3 linked regions of the Macaca fascicularis genome follow. The protein of the gene in region 3 interacts with the protein of the main gene of each other region in a pairwise test. Links are inferred from orthologs where the notes say so. Each region holds a gene or a part of one and is shown on either strand. Other genes may lie near its edges. The genes, in order: FOSL2, DBP and DDIT3.

Evidence for each region.
Region 1: the proteins of DDIT3 (region 3) and FOSL2 interact in binary tests that used the Homo sapiens proteins (3 or more experiments, as listed by UniProt). The two-hybrid records come from large-scale screens. The link is inferred for Macaca fascicularis from reciprocal best matches to the Homo sapiens genes DDIT3 and FOSL2.
Region 2: the proteins of DDIT3 (region 3) and DBP interact in binary tests that used the Homo sapiens proteins (3 or more experiments, as listed by UniProt). The link is inferred for Macaca fascicularis from reciprocal best matches to the Homo sapiens genes DDIT3 and DBP.

What each region holds. Positions count from the first base shown.
Region 1 is NC_088387.1:93,833,100-93,836,841, forward strand, and holds the start of FOSL2 (fos-related antigen 2), read right to left. Parts: upstream 2,257-3,742; 5' UTR 1,412-2,256; coding exon 1,310-1,411; intron 667-1,309; exon of another isoform or gene 1-666.
Region 2 is NC_088393.1:56,630,072-56,633,813, forward strand, and holds the start of DBP (D site-binding protein), read right to left. Parts: upstream 2,390-3,742; 5' UTR 2,019-2,389; coding exon 1,880-2,018; intron 1,022-1,879; coding exon 611-1,021; exon of another isoform or gene 1-610. Other genes in the region: CA11 (carbonic anhydrase-related protein 11), read right to left, coding at 3,058-3,165, 3,411-3,526. UniProt on the Homo sapiens protein: This transcriptional activator recognizes and binds to the sequence 5'-RTTAYGTAAY-3' found in the promoter of genes such as albumin, CYP2A4 and CYP2A5. It is not essential for circadian rhythm generation, but modulates important clock output genes.
Region 3 is NC_088385.1:64,328,174-64,331,915, forward strand, and holds the start of DDIT3 (DNA damage-inducible transcript 3 protein), read right to left. Parts: upstream 2,564-3,742; 5' UTR 2,449-2,563; intron 2,378-2,448; exon of another isoform or gene 2,343-2,377; coding exon of another isoform or gene 2,280-2,342; intron 1-2,279. Other genes in the region: DDIT3 upstream open reading frame protein, read right to left, coding at 2,280-2,342. UniProt on the Homo sapiens protein: Multifunctional transcription factor in endoplasmic reticulum (ER) stress response. Plays an essential role in the response to a wide variety of cell stresses and induces cell cycle arrest and apoptosis in response to ER stress.

The sequences.
Region 1 (3,742 bases), on a different chromosome or scaffold from region 3:
GACTGCACCCTCAATGAACAGACCAGGCTGTCTCTACTGCGGGTGCTTATAGGAGCACCATGGGAGGCAGAGGGAAGGCAGAAAAGCCATTTTGGGGACTCATCAGGTATAGGGAATCACTTTGGAACAAGGGATCCCTCATCAGATCCAAAAGAGAGCCATGTTCCATAAGACTTTCCAGCTGAATCTACCCCTCCCTGGAAGCCCACCCCAGCCCCTTCTAGAGGCCAAGGCCACCGCCTTATGGAGCATCCCTTGCTGCAGCCAACTGTGCTAGACTCCACAGATGCTGACCACCGTGGGCTGCATGTTGTATTGGGCCTGCGTTAACCCAGCTCTCTCTTGAGACAGAGCGGGTGGGGAGCCGCAGCAGAGGGCAGGCACGCCATCAGCACCCCCCCCGCCCCGCAACAACAGTACCTTCCTGGTATTTATAAACACAGAGATCACACGCACAATCCCTCCACCGCAAACCAGTCCGGCTGCTTTAGAAACAAGTTGTTTTCTGCTTCCAGAACCACCCAGGAGCCTGTGTGATGTCTCTTCCCCCACCGACCCCCTGTTCTCTCTGCCGGCCTCCTTGCTCCAGGTACCCCCAGACCCTCACGGTGCTCCTTCGTTCCTGCGGGGCAGTGCAGCCTCCTGTCCTCGACCCTTACAGAAGACGGGCGGGCAGGCGGGCAGGCACTGGGCACACAGGCGGCATGAGCCAATCAAGGCTGGCTTCTTCCTTCCTGACCTTCGCACCTGATTCCCAGAGCGGCAGCCCTCGCCCTCGCTCCAGATTACTTGAAGGAGTCCAACCATGTTTCTGGATCCCCAACCCCTTTCAGAAAGGAGCTAAGACTGATGGAGAACGAGGAGGGGAGAGAGAGAGAGCTTTCCTGAAAGAATAGGGTCCCAGGATGTCGAAAGGTGCCAGTGGGTGCAAAGATTTTCTTGTCTGTCCACCATCCAGAAAGAAGACTCGGGGCGGGGGGCGAGGAGGGGCGGGCACTGGGGAGGGGGAGTAGTTCATGGGAGGAGGTAACAGGCTCTTCCTGGTAGGGGGCCTACAATTCCAGGAGTTTATCTGGGTAAAATATAATGTGGGAGGAAAAGGGCATGTTGTCTTTTCAAGCCCACTCCCCAATCCCCTGATGTAAAAGGGGGTGGTGGGGGAGGAGAGGACGAAAATCCAGAACTTAACAACGGTGGCCCGTAGGTATTTTTTCGCTAAGAAAAGGAAAAGAAAGCAAAAGAGGCAGTGGCGGCGAGAGGAGGGCAGGGGTCCGCCCGCGCCGCCAGGTGCACCGGGGCCCGCACCTACCTGCTGGCCGCCGCCGCCGCTGGAGTACGACTCGGCGTGCGCAGGAGAGCCGCTGCTGCCCCGGGACGAGGTGTCAAAGTTCCCGGGATAATCCTGGTACATGATCCGCGGTAGGGGCCGGAGGGGAAACAGGGTGTTTTTCTTCCCCCGCCCTCGCCGCGGCCGCGCACCGGCTGCTGCGCGCTCGTTCGTCCGCCGGCCGCGCCGCGGGCTCTGGGTTTCGCTCCTGGGTTTCTCCCCAACCGCGGCGGGCGAGGACAAGGAGGCGGCGACACCTCGGGAACAGCGTCCCCCGAGCGCCTCTTACGGCACTTCTTTCCGGCTCTGAGAACGCCGCGGGACCAGTTGTCCACCCGGTCCCTCCCTCTAAAAAGTCGGCGCGTCTCTCGGTCCCTCCCCTGCGCGCGCCCTCCCGCCCCCGCGCGCAGCCGGAGCTCAGCCGGGACCCACGGCCCAATCAAAAATTGGAAATTAAAAAGACTAGGAGCCCAGAGAGCCTGGCCTGCCAGCCCCCGGGACCCTCCGATTTCAGACAGGGCCAAAAAGGCGGAAAGAAAAGCTGTCCGCTGGGAGAAACTTCTGTTTCTTCCTTTCAGAAAAGGAGCCGGAGAATAAACTTCCCGTGGCCGACTCGCCGCCGGAGTTTCGGGGCGGCTCGGATACTTGACTGGGAGAAGGCGGCGTGCGCCCGTCCCGCGGCCCCGAGCGCGCCAGGGGGACAGCGGCTCGTGGGGCTCAAGCTGAGCTGGCGCTGAGAGGGACGCGGCCCTGCTCCCCGCTCCGGCGCCCGGACCTGCACCCCTTCCCCGGCGCCCGCTCCCGGACGGGCCCGCCTCGCCCGACCGCGCCTCTCCCTCTCCCTCTTTCTGTCCCCGCCGAGCGCCGCTCGTTCGCTCGCTCGCTGGTTCGCTCGAAGCCCTAGCGCTCTGCCCGAGATGAGTCACTACAATGGCACGAGTTCAACTCACACTCTTTATTCTCCAGCCCTGTACCATGTGGATTCACTCACGTCAACCCCAGACTCCACCTTGCAGGGAGGAGCGCACGAGGAGGCGGGGGGAGGAGGCCGCGGAGGAGGAAGAGGCGCAGGAGGGGAGGAGGCGGGCGCAGCTCTTCCCTCCCAGCCCCGGCTCCCGGCCGCGCTGACGCCAGCCGCGCACCCCGCGCGAGGAAGCCAGGCGGTGGCCCTGGCGGGAGCGGGCGGCCCGCACGGTTGGGGGGCGCCGAGGCAGCCCCGGCCCTCCCCCGCCCCCCGCTCACCCCCCGGGCCCAGCGCCCTTGGTCTGTTCCATTGGCGCACGTTGCCAAAGATGGTCATTTGCGTTAGAGGACGCGAGTGCGGGTTTCCTCGCTTTCGGGTGACGTGGAGGGAGAGGGATTCCCTCGCCCGCTCCCGAGTGCGCTGTGGCCTCTCCCCCGCCCCGGGAAGGGGCGCGGGGCGGGGCCCCGAGAGCGGCCGCGCGGTCTCGACTCCGGATTTTAGAAAATAATCACAGCCCTGACGGGGAGACGGGCGGTTCGGTGCGGCGCCACCGGGAGGCCGGGAGCTGGGCGCGCAGAGCCGCTCGCAGGGAGGGCGCGGCCGCGCGCGGTCGTAGGCGCCCTTCGCGGCGCCGCCGAGTGCAGCGGGCGCCCGGGGCGCGCAGGGTGCCCGCGCCGCCCTGCGGCCGGGTCTTGGCGGGGCGCGGCGCCGGGCGGGGCTGGCCTGCCTATTTTTCCCTCCGTGGCGGGCTGCCTACCGCTTCCCTTTTTGATTTTTGTTTTTCATGTTTTCGGTCCTACAGTTAATTCGTTAGGAGTAGCCTTGAAGATGAAATTAACCGGGCAAGATATTCCGGCTGCCCTGTACGCCGAGCAATTAGGACGCATCTAATAAGAGTAATCGGGCGTTCATAAGCAAACTCCCGACTGTTACGAATTAAAAAAAAAAAAAAAAAAAAAGTAGCCAGCGAGAGGGTGTGCCCCAACGTTGTCGTCTTCAGCTGTTTTGGAGCGAAGTTCAGGGCGCGGGTAGCCGGACACTTGGGTCCTCCTCCCTCACTGGGCGGGGCTGGGAGGGGCGCGGCGCAGGGTACAGAGCACAGACCTTGGAGCAGGAACGCCCGGCTACGCTATTTACGAGCTGTGAGATCTTAGACCAATTCCTTAACCTCTCTGGGCCTCAGTTTCCTCCTATAAAGGGAAGGAGTTTGGAGCCATGACCTTAGGCCCTTCTCTGCTCTGGAGCTCCAGTCCTTCTGCTGAGATGATGGTGTGTGAATGGAGAAGTACTGTAGCGGAATTCAGGGAACTTAGGTTCTGGCCCAGGGTCTGTTAGCCTCAGTTTACCCAATTCTTAAGTAGCACCAGCCGTCTGTACCCCACAGGGTCCTTATGAGGCCCCAAAGTTAAGAGGTGTTCTTGAGAGTCCATTGCGGGCAACTCGCTGTGCAC
Region 2 (3,742 bases), on a different chromosome or scaffold from region 3:
CGCCTCTCCTAGGAATATAGGAAGCTTGGTCCTAGCCCCAGTTGGAGAATCCAGAAACAAGATCCCTAACGTCTTCCCTTCTGAAGAACTCTGGGACCCGGGGCTGCAGCACGCCCCACTGGGGGACCCAAGAACTGGGCTGCCAGTCTCTTATGTCCTGGGTAAACAGAATTCTGCGCCCCTCCTTTGCTCCTGTAAAGGACCTAGGGGCTCCAGTTCTATCCCAGTTCCATCGATTATGGGCCCAGATTCTGGGGTCAGTCCACTGCCCAGTAAATAACTCTGGTGTTCCGGACTTCCAGTTCTGGCTTCACGAGTATCCACATCCTTTGTCCCCACGTCCCACAGAAAAACCCACAAAATCTCATTGGGCAGGCTTCCTGGAATTTAGGGTTCCAAGTCTCTCCTCCCCTATGGAGCCAGAAGACCAAGTTCCTGACCCATTAAGAGACACAGAATCTGGCCCCCTCCCACGACACCGCTCGACAACTGGACACAAAATGCGGGGCGGCAGCCGGGTCCCACGGTCCCAGCCCCCTGCGTCGCACAGCCCCGCCCCCTGAGTCCAAGCCCCGCCTCGTCAGGACCCGCCCCGCCCCCTTCGCCGCACCTGCGCGGTGGCCGCTGGCGGCCCCGAGGGCAGCCCGGGCGGGGGCGTGCCCAGGAGAGGAGCGGGGGGAAGCGGAGCCGCACGAGCCCGGCCCTGGGGAGGGTGCGGGCGTCCGCGCGGGCGACGGCTCCGGCGATGGGCCACCGGGGGGCGGCGGGCTGGGCGGGAGCCCGTGCTCCAGCAGGAAGGCGTCCAGGTCCACGTACTCCACATCGCCGAACGGCAGCGTGCGCTCCCAAAGCAGTGGCGCCAACAGACCCGGGGCGGAAACTGGCCCCGGGCGCCCCCGCGGGGACCCGCCGCCCACCACCGCCCCAGCCGGGGCATCCGCCGGGCCCGCAGTCTCCAGGCCTGGCCCAGGGGTTGTGGCTGCGGGCAGGGCCGCCTTGCGCTCCTTTTCCTTCAGGAGACCTGCGGGCCGGGAAAGACGGGTTGGGATGGCGGGGGGGTGGAGATAGAGATGGGAGAAGAGACCCCGAGTCCGAGAGGCACAGGGCAGAGATCCAGAGAAAGAGGGGATGGGGAGTCGGAGAGGAGAGACGGGAAATGAAGGGACGGAGACGCAGAGTGGGAGAGAGACCCAGAAAGAACGGAGACGGGGGTGGCAGAGACAGGTGGACAGATTCACAGAGATGGGGACAGAATGCCGGGAAGGGATTGAGACACAGAAAGACAGCGACCCAGAGAAAGAGGGACGGAAGTTCAGGAATAGGGGGGCAGGGAGAGGGTAGGTGGAGGGTTGGGCAGGTGAGAGAAAAAAATGACAGCTCTGTAATTCCGCTGTAATTACCCAACCCCATCCCCTGCGCGCTGTACCCCCTTCCCCCTCCCCCACCATCTGTAAGGGACAGGAAGGGGCTCTATTCCTGGGGCACATTCCTCATCCCTAGACTCCATGTGACCCCATGACGCCCCGCCCAAGCCCGTGTCACCACCGTGTGAGCACCCGACACACCCCCTCCCTGGGACCCCAGGGGTCCAGACTCCCGGACCAAAGGAAGAGGAGGCTGGGGCCTACACTCCTGTGAACCGAGGGAGGAAGACTTTGGGGACCTTAGGGTGGACGGGCTTCAGAGCTGCCGCTTTTGGGTCCTGGGCGCTGAGGGATCTAGGGGCCTAAACACCCGAATAATTGAGTAGATTAAGGTTGGGAAGATGGACTCCCCCCACACAGGAGGTGTCTATGGGCCCCCACCCCCCAACCAACGGCATTTGAGGCCTTAAGGGGGTGGGGTGTCCGAACTGGGTGAGATGGGGGTTAGAACTCACAGCTGGCCGGCTCTTTGGGCTTGCTGGTCCCCTGCAGAAGGCTCCGCAGCCCAAGCAGCGCTCCCCCGCCAGGGGGTGTCCCGACCGGGCCGCCCAGCAGCAGAGGGGCCGGGGTCCTGTCGCTCACAGGCCGCGCCATCGCCTGGCACCTGCCCCCAGGCTCACGGGTTCATGGAGAGGCGAAGGGCTGGCCTGCCAGTCACCGGCACACTCCAGTGGTTTGGACGACTGTCTGCCCAGGGGCGGGCGAGTGTAGCCTGCAACCCTCCAGTATCCAGAACGCTGCAAATCCTAGGAGCGACGGGAATTTGAGGTCCTCGGTGCAGAAACGTGCAACTCAAAAGGGTCCCGGGAGATCATGCAGTCTGGGCGAGGGGGTGTCCAAATCAAGCGGCCGGCCCTTTGCAACCGAGGGTGAGAGGGGACCCAAGGCGCCCCTTCTACAAGGTGGGCGAGCCTGGCTCTTGCAAAATCTGCAGCTCTCGCAACGGAAGGCGCTTTGCAATCTGCACCGAGAGGTGTGCGCGGAGGGGCGGAGGAGGGGGCAGGAGGAGGCGGCCGCCTTGAGGCGTGGCCAAAGCAAACTTCTTTCGCGGAAAAAAAATCCAAACCAAAACACCCGACGCCACAGCGCGCGCCCCTCCTCCGGGTCCCCGCCCGGCGCGTCCAGCCCCGCCCGCCTCTGTGGGCATGCACCCCAGCCGCGTGCCTCCCTCCGGCTGCAAACACAGGCCAATCGTCTCCGACCCCTTGAGACGCACAGCCAATGGGGCCTCTGGATACGCCAGGGCCCAGGAGGGCGCGTGAGGGGCTCAGCGCGTGAAGTTGCCTTGCCTTTCGGTGGGAGGCGGGACACTGACCTACATTTGCCCAATGGGAGGCGGTACTGGGGGCGGGACCGTGACCCAGTTTGGGCCAATGAAGCAGGCGGGAGGGGGAAGCACATGGCTCTGCTCGTGCTGCCTAGTGGTAAGGGGTGTGATGGGGGAAGAGGGGCGCCGCTTAAAGGGGCCGCGGTCCTAATGATGGTTTTGAGAAGCAGGAAGCCAAAATGCCGAGTAGCGGGGGCTTAAAAAGAGGAAGATTGGTTTCCGGAAGAAGTCTGTTCTTTAATACCCAAATGTTTCCCCACCGCGCCTAGAATCAGACCACTGAGAAACAAGAAGTGTTCTGTCCCTTTAATAGCTTTGTTTTAGGAGTAACTCCCCTAGCCGTGTGGGGAGGCTTAGGACGGGCGGGTGCAATACTCGAAGGGGAGTCTCAGCGACCATGGGGGGCACCATCCACTGTAAGACAGAGAACAACGGCAGGCGTCAGTTTAGGATGGAAGGGGCAGGGGGCGTGCAGGGGGCGTGGGCTGGGCCGCGCAGGGCTCTACCATCGGAAGTCTGTGAGCGGGGAACCAGAATGTACCAGGTCGAGAAGCACTGGGCTGAACCACAAGAAGCCAACAGGAGGGGGGAATCGGGATGTCCAGATTCAGCATTAGGCTGAACTACCTGAAGGTCTTCATGGGGGGTGTGGACTGTACCATGTTGCGAAGCCGGGGGGTGTGAGATCCCTGGGCTGAACCACAGGGAGGCAGTTGTAGATTCTCAGTAAGGGGGAAAGGAGCATCAGATTGTGGAACAGCGTAGAGTAGTACGACTTGGAAAGGGAGAGAGGATCCAAATTGTACCATTTTGGAAATTCACAGTAATAGGAAGCACAGAACAGTAGGTAATCGCACCATAGGAAGGCAGGGGTCAAGGGTTATAGACCAAGTTACAAAGCAGTGAAGAGGAAAGACAAATCGTGCGACAGCAATGACCTAGGGCTGGAAGGTGGACTGTGCCACGTTGATATGTAGGGAGAGAGAGAAAA
Region 3 (3,742 bases):
TCCTACTGGTCCGTCCTTACTTCTGGTCTTGTGGGGTATGCATACTTGGTCCCTGTAGCCATTTCCAAGGGCAGAAGAGGGCCTGACTTTATTTTTAGTTGCTGACATTTGTAGTCCTGGTTACATAATAGCAAAGTTCTGGCCAACTCAGCTTTCTCTAAATTCAAGGCAGGCCTTAAACCTGCCAGGGTAAAGACTAAACTATAGGGAAGGGAACAAATCGTAGCATTTTCCTAACTCCATTCCCACACTGACATCCTGTAGCATTTTCCTAACTCCATTCCCACACTGACATCCTCCAAATGTGTATTTCCAGTCTGGACCTCTTCCAGAACTTCCGACTCTGCTGTCTACTGCCTACTTGCCATTTCTTTTTCAATGTCTAATAGGTACCTAAGACTATGTGCAAACTTGTTGATTTTCCCCTTCCAAGGTCATCCCCATCTCAGATGACAACTCTAGTTGCTTAAGCTAAAAACCTTGGTATCATCCTTCATTCCTCTCACACCCTGCAATCCAAAGTACTAGCAAATTTTAACTTTTTTTTTTTTTTTTTTTGAGACGGGTCTCCCTCTTTTTGCCCAGGCTAGAGGGCAGTGGCACAATCTCCGCTCTGCAACCTTTGCCTCCTGGGTTCAAGCGATTCTCCTGCCTCAGCCTCCTGAGTAGCTGGGATTACAGGCATGCACTACCATGCCTGGCTGATTTTTGTATTTTTAGTAAAGATGGGGTTTCACGTTGGCCAGGCTGGTCTTGAACTCCTGACTTCGTGTGATCCACTCCTCTGGTCTCCTAAAGTGCTGGGATTACAGGCATGAGCCACCATGCCCGGCCCTTAACTCATTCTTTAAAAATGAGTTTTTAAAACTTTGCTTAGAAGAATTTAAACACCTCTAATTCCATTCTTTCCAATCTAGATCAATTCACCACCATCTCTCAATTACTGCAGAAACTTCCTGATTGCAGAAGGTCTTCCCATTTCTTCTCTTGCCACCCCTCCGTAAGTCTATTCACCATACAGCAGCCTGAGTGAACCTTTTAAAACAGGTCATTCCTCTGCTCAAAACTCTCCAGTGACTTCCTATGTCATGTCAGGGAAGTCATTGGAGGGTTTTGAGAGGAGGAATTACCTAAGGTAATTCCTGACCACCTGATGTAACACAGTAACCTCCATCCTGAACATTCTCCATTCCTTTCTCTGCTTTAGCTTTCTCCATGGCACTTATATTTTGTTTACTGTAGGCCTCCCACTGAGATGATTTTTTCCTCTTGCTCACGGATGTTCCCTGAGCCCCAAACTGTTTGGCACACAGTAGGTCCTCATTAAGTATTTGTTAAGAATGAATGAATTCTCCCCAATCTCTCTTATAGGGAAGGGGCAGACGCAGAGTGGCAGCTGCCGATCCCTAGGGACTGGAGATGCAATATTGCCCGAAATATTTCTCTGCAGGGCTGTCTTCCCTGGGGAACCCTCCCTTGCCTTCCAGTGCGTGGGACTTGGCTTTCATCAGCAGTGGAGCCTCAGGTCAGAAGGCTGCAGAGCCAAACGGGGCTGGCCTGATGCAATGGTTACACAGAGATTAGCTGGGAGACAGGACCGGGTTAAAGAGGCAGGGACTAATCCCGAGGGAAGGACGATACCCTGGGGAGACCCCAAATGGCCTCCTACACTTAAGAGATCCAGGCTGCTCTCTTGTGCGGGAGGCCCAGAGACCTCTACGGCAAAGGGAAAACACACCGCTCCCTGTCCATCGGCACCCCTCCCAAAGGCTTGTGTCAAGGTTCCCCTTTCAGCCCTGCAGGGTCCAGTAGCCCCAGCTACCGAGGTGGCCATGCTGACACCAGAGACGCTGAGACTGAGACAGGATTGGGGGTAGGGTAGGGAGAAGGCCGATGGTGGCGAACGGGCGGAAACGGTTTGAGCGATGGTAACTCAGTCTTAGAGCGGGGGTGTGTCCTGCTGCCTCCCCGCGGACAGGCCTAACGAGGTGGCCTGAAGTTGGCTACGGGAGAGAATGAATTTCCCTAGGGCAGCCGAGGTCCCTTTGCCCAGCAGCACAGAGCAGGGCCCATGCTCCGGCTCCGGGCAGGGGTGGAGAGACGCTGTCGTCCGAAGCAATGGGGGTTTGTAAGCACCACCCCAGAATAAGGGACTCTCCCCATTCCTCTCTCGGACGGTCCCTGACTTCACTGTGGAGGCGTGAGGCCAATCCTAAAGAGCGGATGCCCCAACTCTGAGGAGACGGGAGGGCAAAGGGCAGATGGGAGTCAGTACTCGCCTCTCTCCTCAGGTTCCAGCTCTGATTTTGGCTCTGTCGCTGCCACCCGCTCATCTTCAACATGATACGCTCAGTGCCTTAGACTTAAGCCTCTGACCTCGGGAGCGCCTAGCTGTAATCTTTTACCATGGCCTTGCCCTCCTCTCAGGGGCGGGACCCCAAAACCTACCAATCAGAAAGTGGCACGCCGGCATTGGCCCCGCCTCGTCCCTCGTATCCGCCACTCAGGAGCTCCGCAGAACCGCCCCCGTCGCTCCCTCTCGCTAGGGGGTCGACGTAGTGTCGGACCCGGAAGTGGCTTTGGGTCACGAGGCTTCACGGAGGCGGTGGGTGAGTCATGCGCGCGCGCGGAGGGGAGTGTAGCGGGGGGAGGGGAGGAAAGGGGGGCGGGGATGATGCAATGTTTGGCAACTGGTGTCTGCACGCGCACGCGCAGGGGACTACGAGGGTGGTGGGAGGTGCAGAGGGTGGGGGAAAGGAGAGAGGGCGGGGCGCCAGCTCCCGGCGCCCAACGGCCCCAACGGCTATCAGCGTTGGCCGTCCGTAGTCGGTCGTGTGGAGCCTCTTTGCCGCTTGTCTCCCCCAGAAGCTGCTGTTCCGCCCACCGAGCTTTAGCCGGCGTTTTACCTCCACTATAAGGGACTCCCATTTTCCTTGGCCCCTCCCAGCTAATGGTCATATAGGCCTTTTGAACTTTTCCTTTGAAAGTTGGTATCCATCCACTGGGATTGTCGACATCTCGAGAGTCTTAGAGAGGTCTCCGGGCTCGGTGACTCATGCCTATAATCCCAGCACTTTGGGAGGCTGAGGAGAGCGGATCACTTCAGGTCAGGAGTTCCAGATCAGCCTGACCAACATGGTGAAACCCCGTCTCTACTAAAAATACAAAAATTAGCCGGGTGTGGTGATGCGCGCCTGTAATCCCAGCTACTCTGGAGGCTGAGGCAGGAGAATCGCTTGAACCCTGGTGGCGTATGTTGCAGTGACCGAGATCGCGCCACTGCACTCCAGCCTGGGTGACAGAGCGAGACTACGTTTCACCGAAAACGAAAAACAAATAAAAAAAACCGGGGTCGTCTAGCCCCGTAAATCTCCCAAAAGGGGCCGAGGTACTGGAATCCCTTGGTAGTCATTTTCCGCTTCTCTCACAACAGCGCCCTTGACTTTTACCTTGGAGTTGCTAAGCCCTCAGCCTGCCAGAAGTCATGTATTTTACCCAGTGGACCCAATTCTGTTTGGCCACCTATTTTCCCCCACTATACTCTTACGGCTTTCTCCAATACCAAGACCCTCTCTTGCTGTACCAGACAGCAAGTCCTGTGACTCCCTGCTGTGAGGAGCGCGGCACAGGCCTGCCTCCTAGGTGTTCGGGTCGAGATTTACAGCGGAGTCTCATCCTGGGACGTGTAAGTGCACTTCAGCGCAGGACCGCCGTGGACTGGGGAGACCGGGGCCGCGATTTT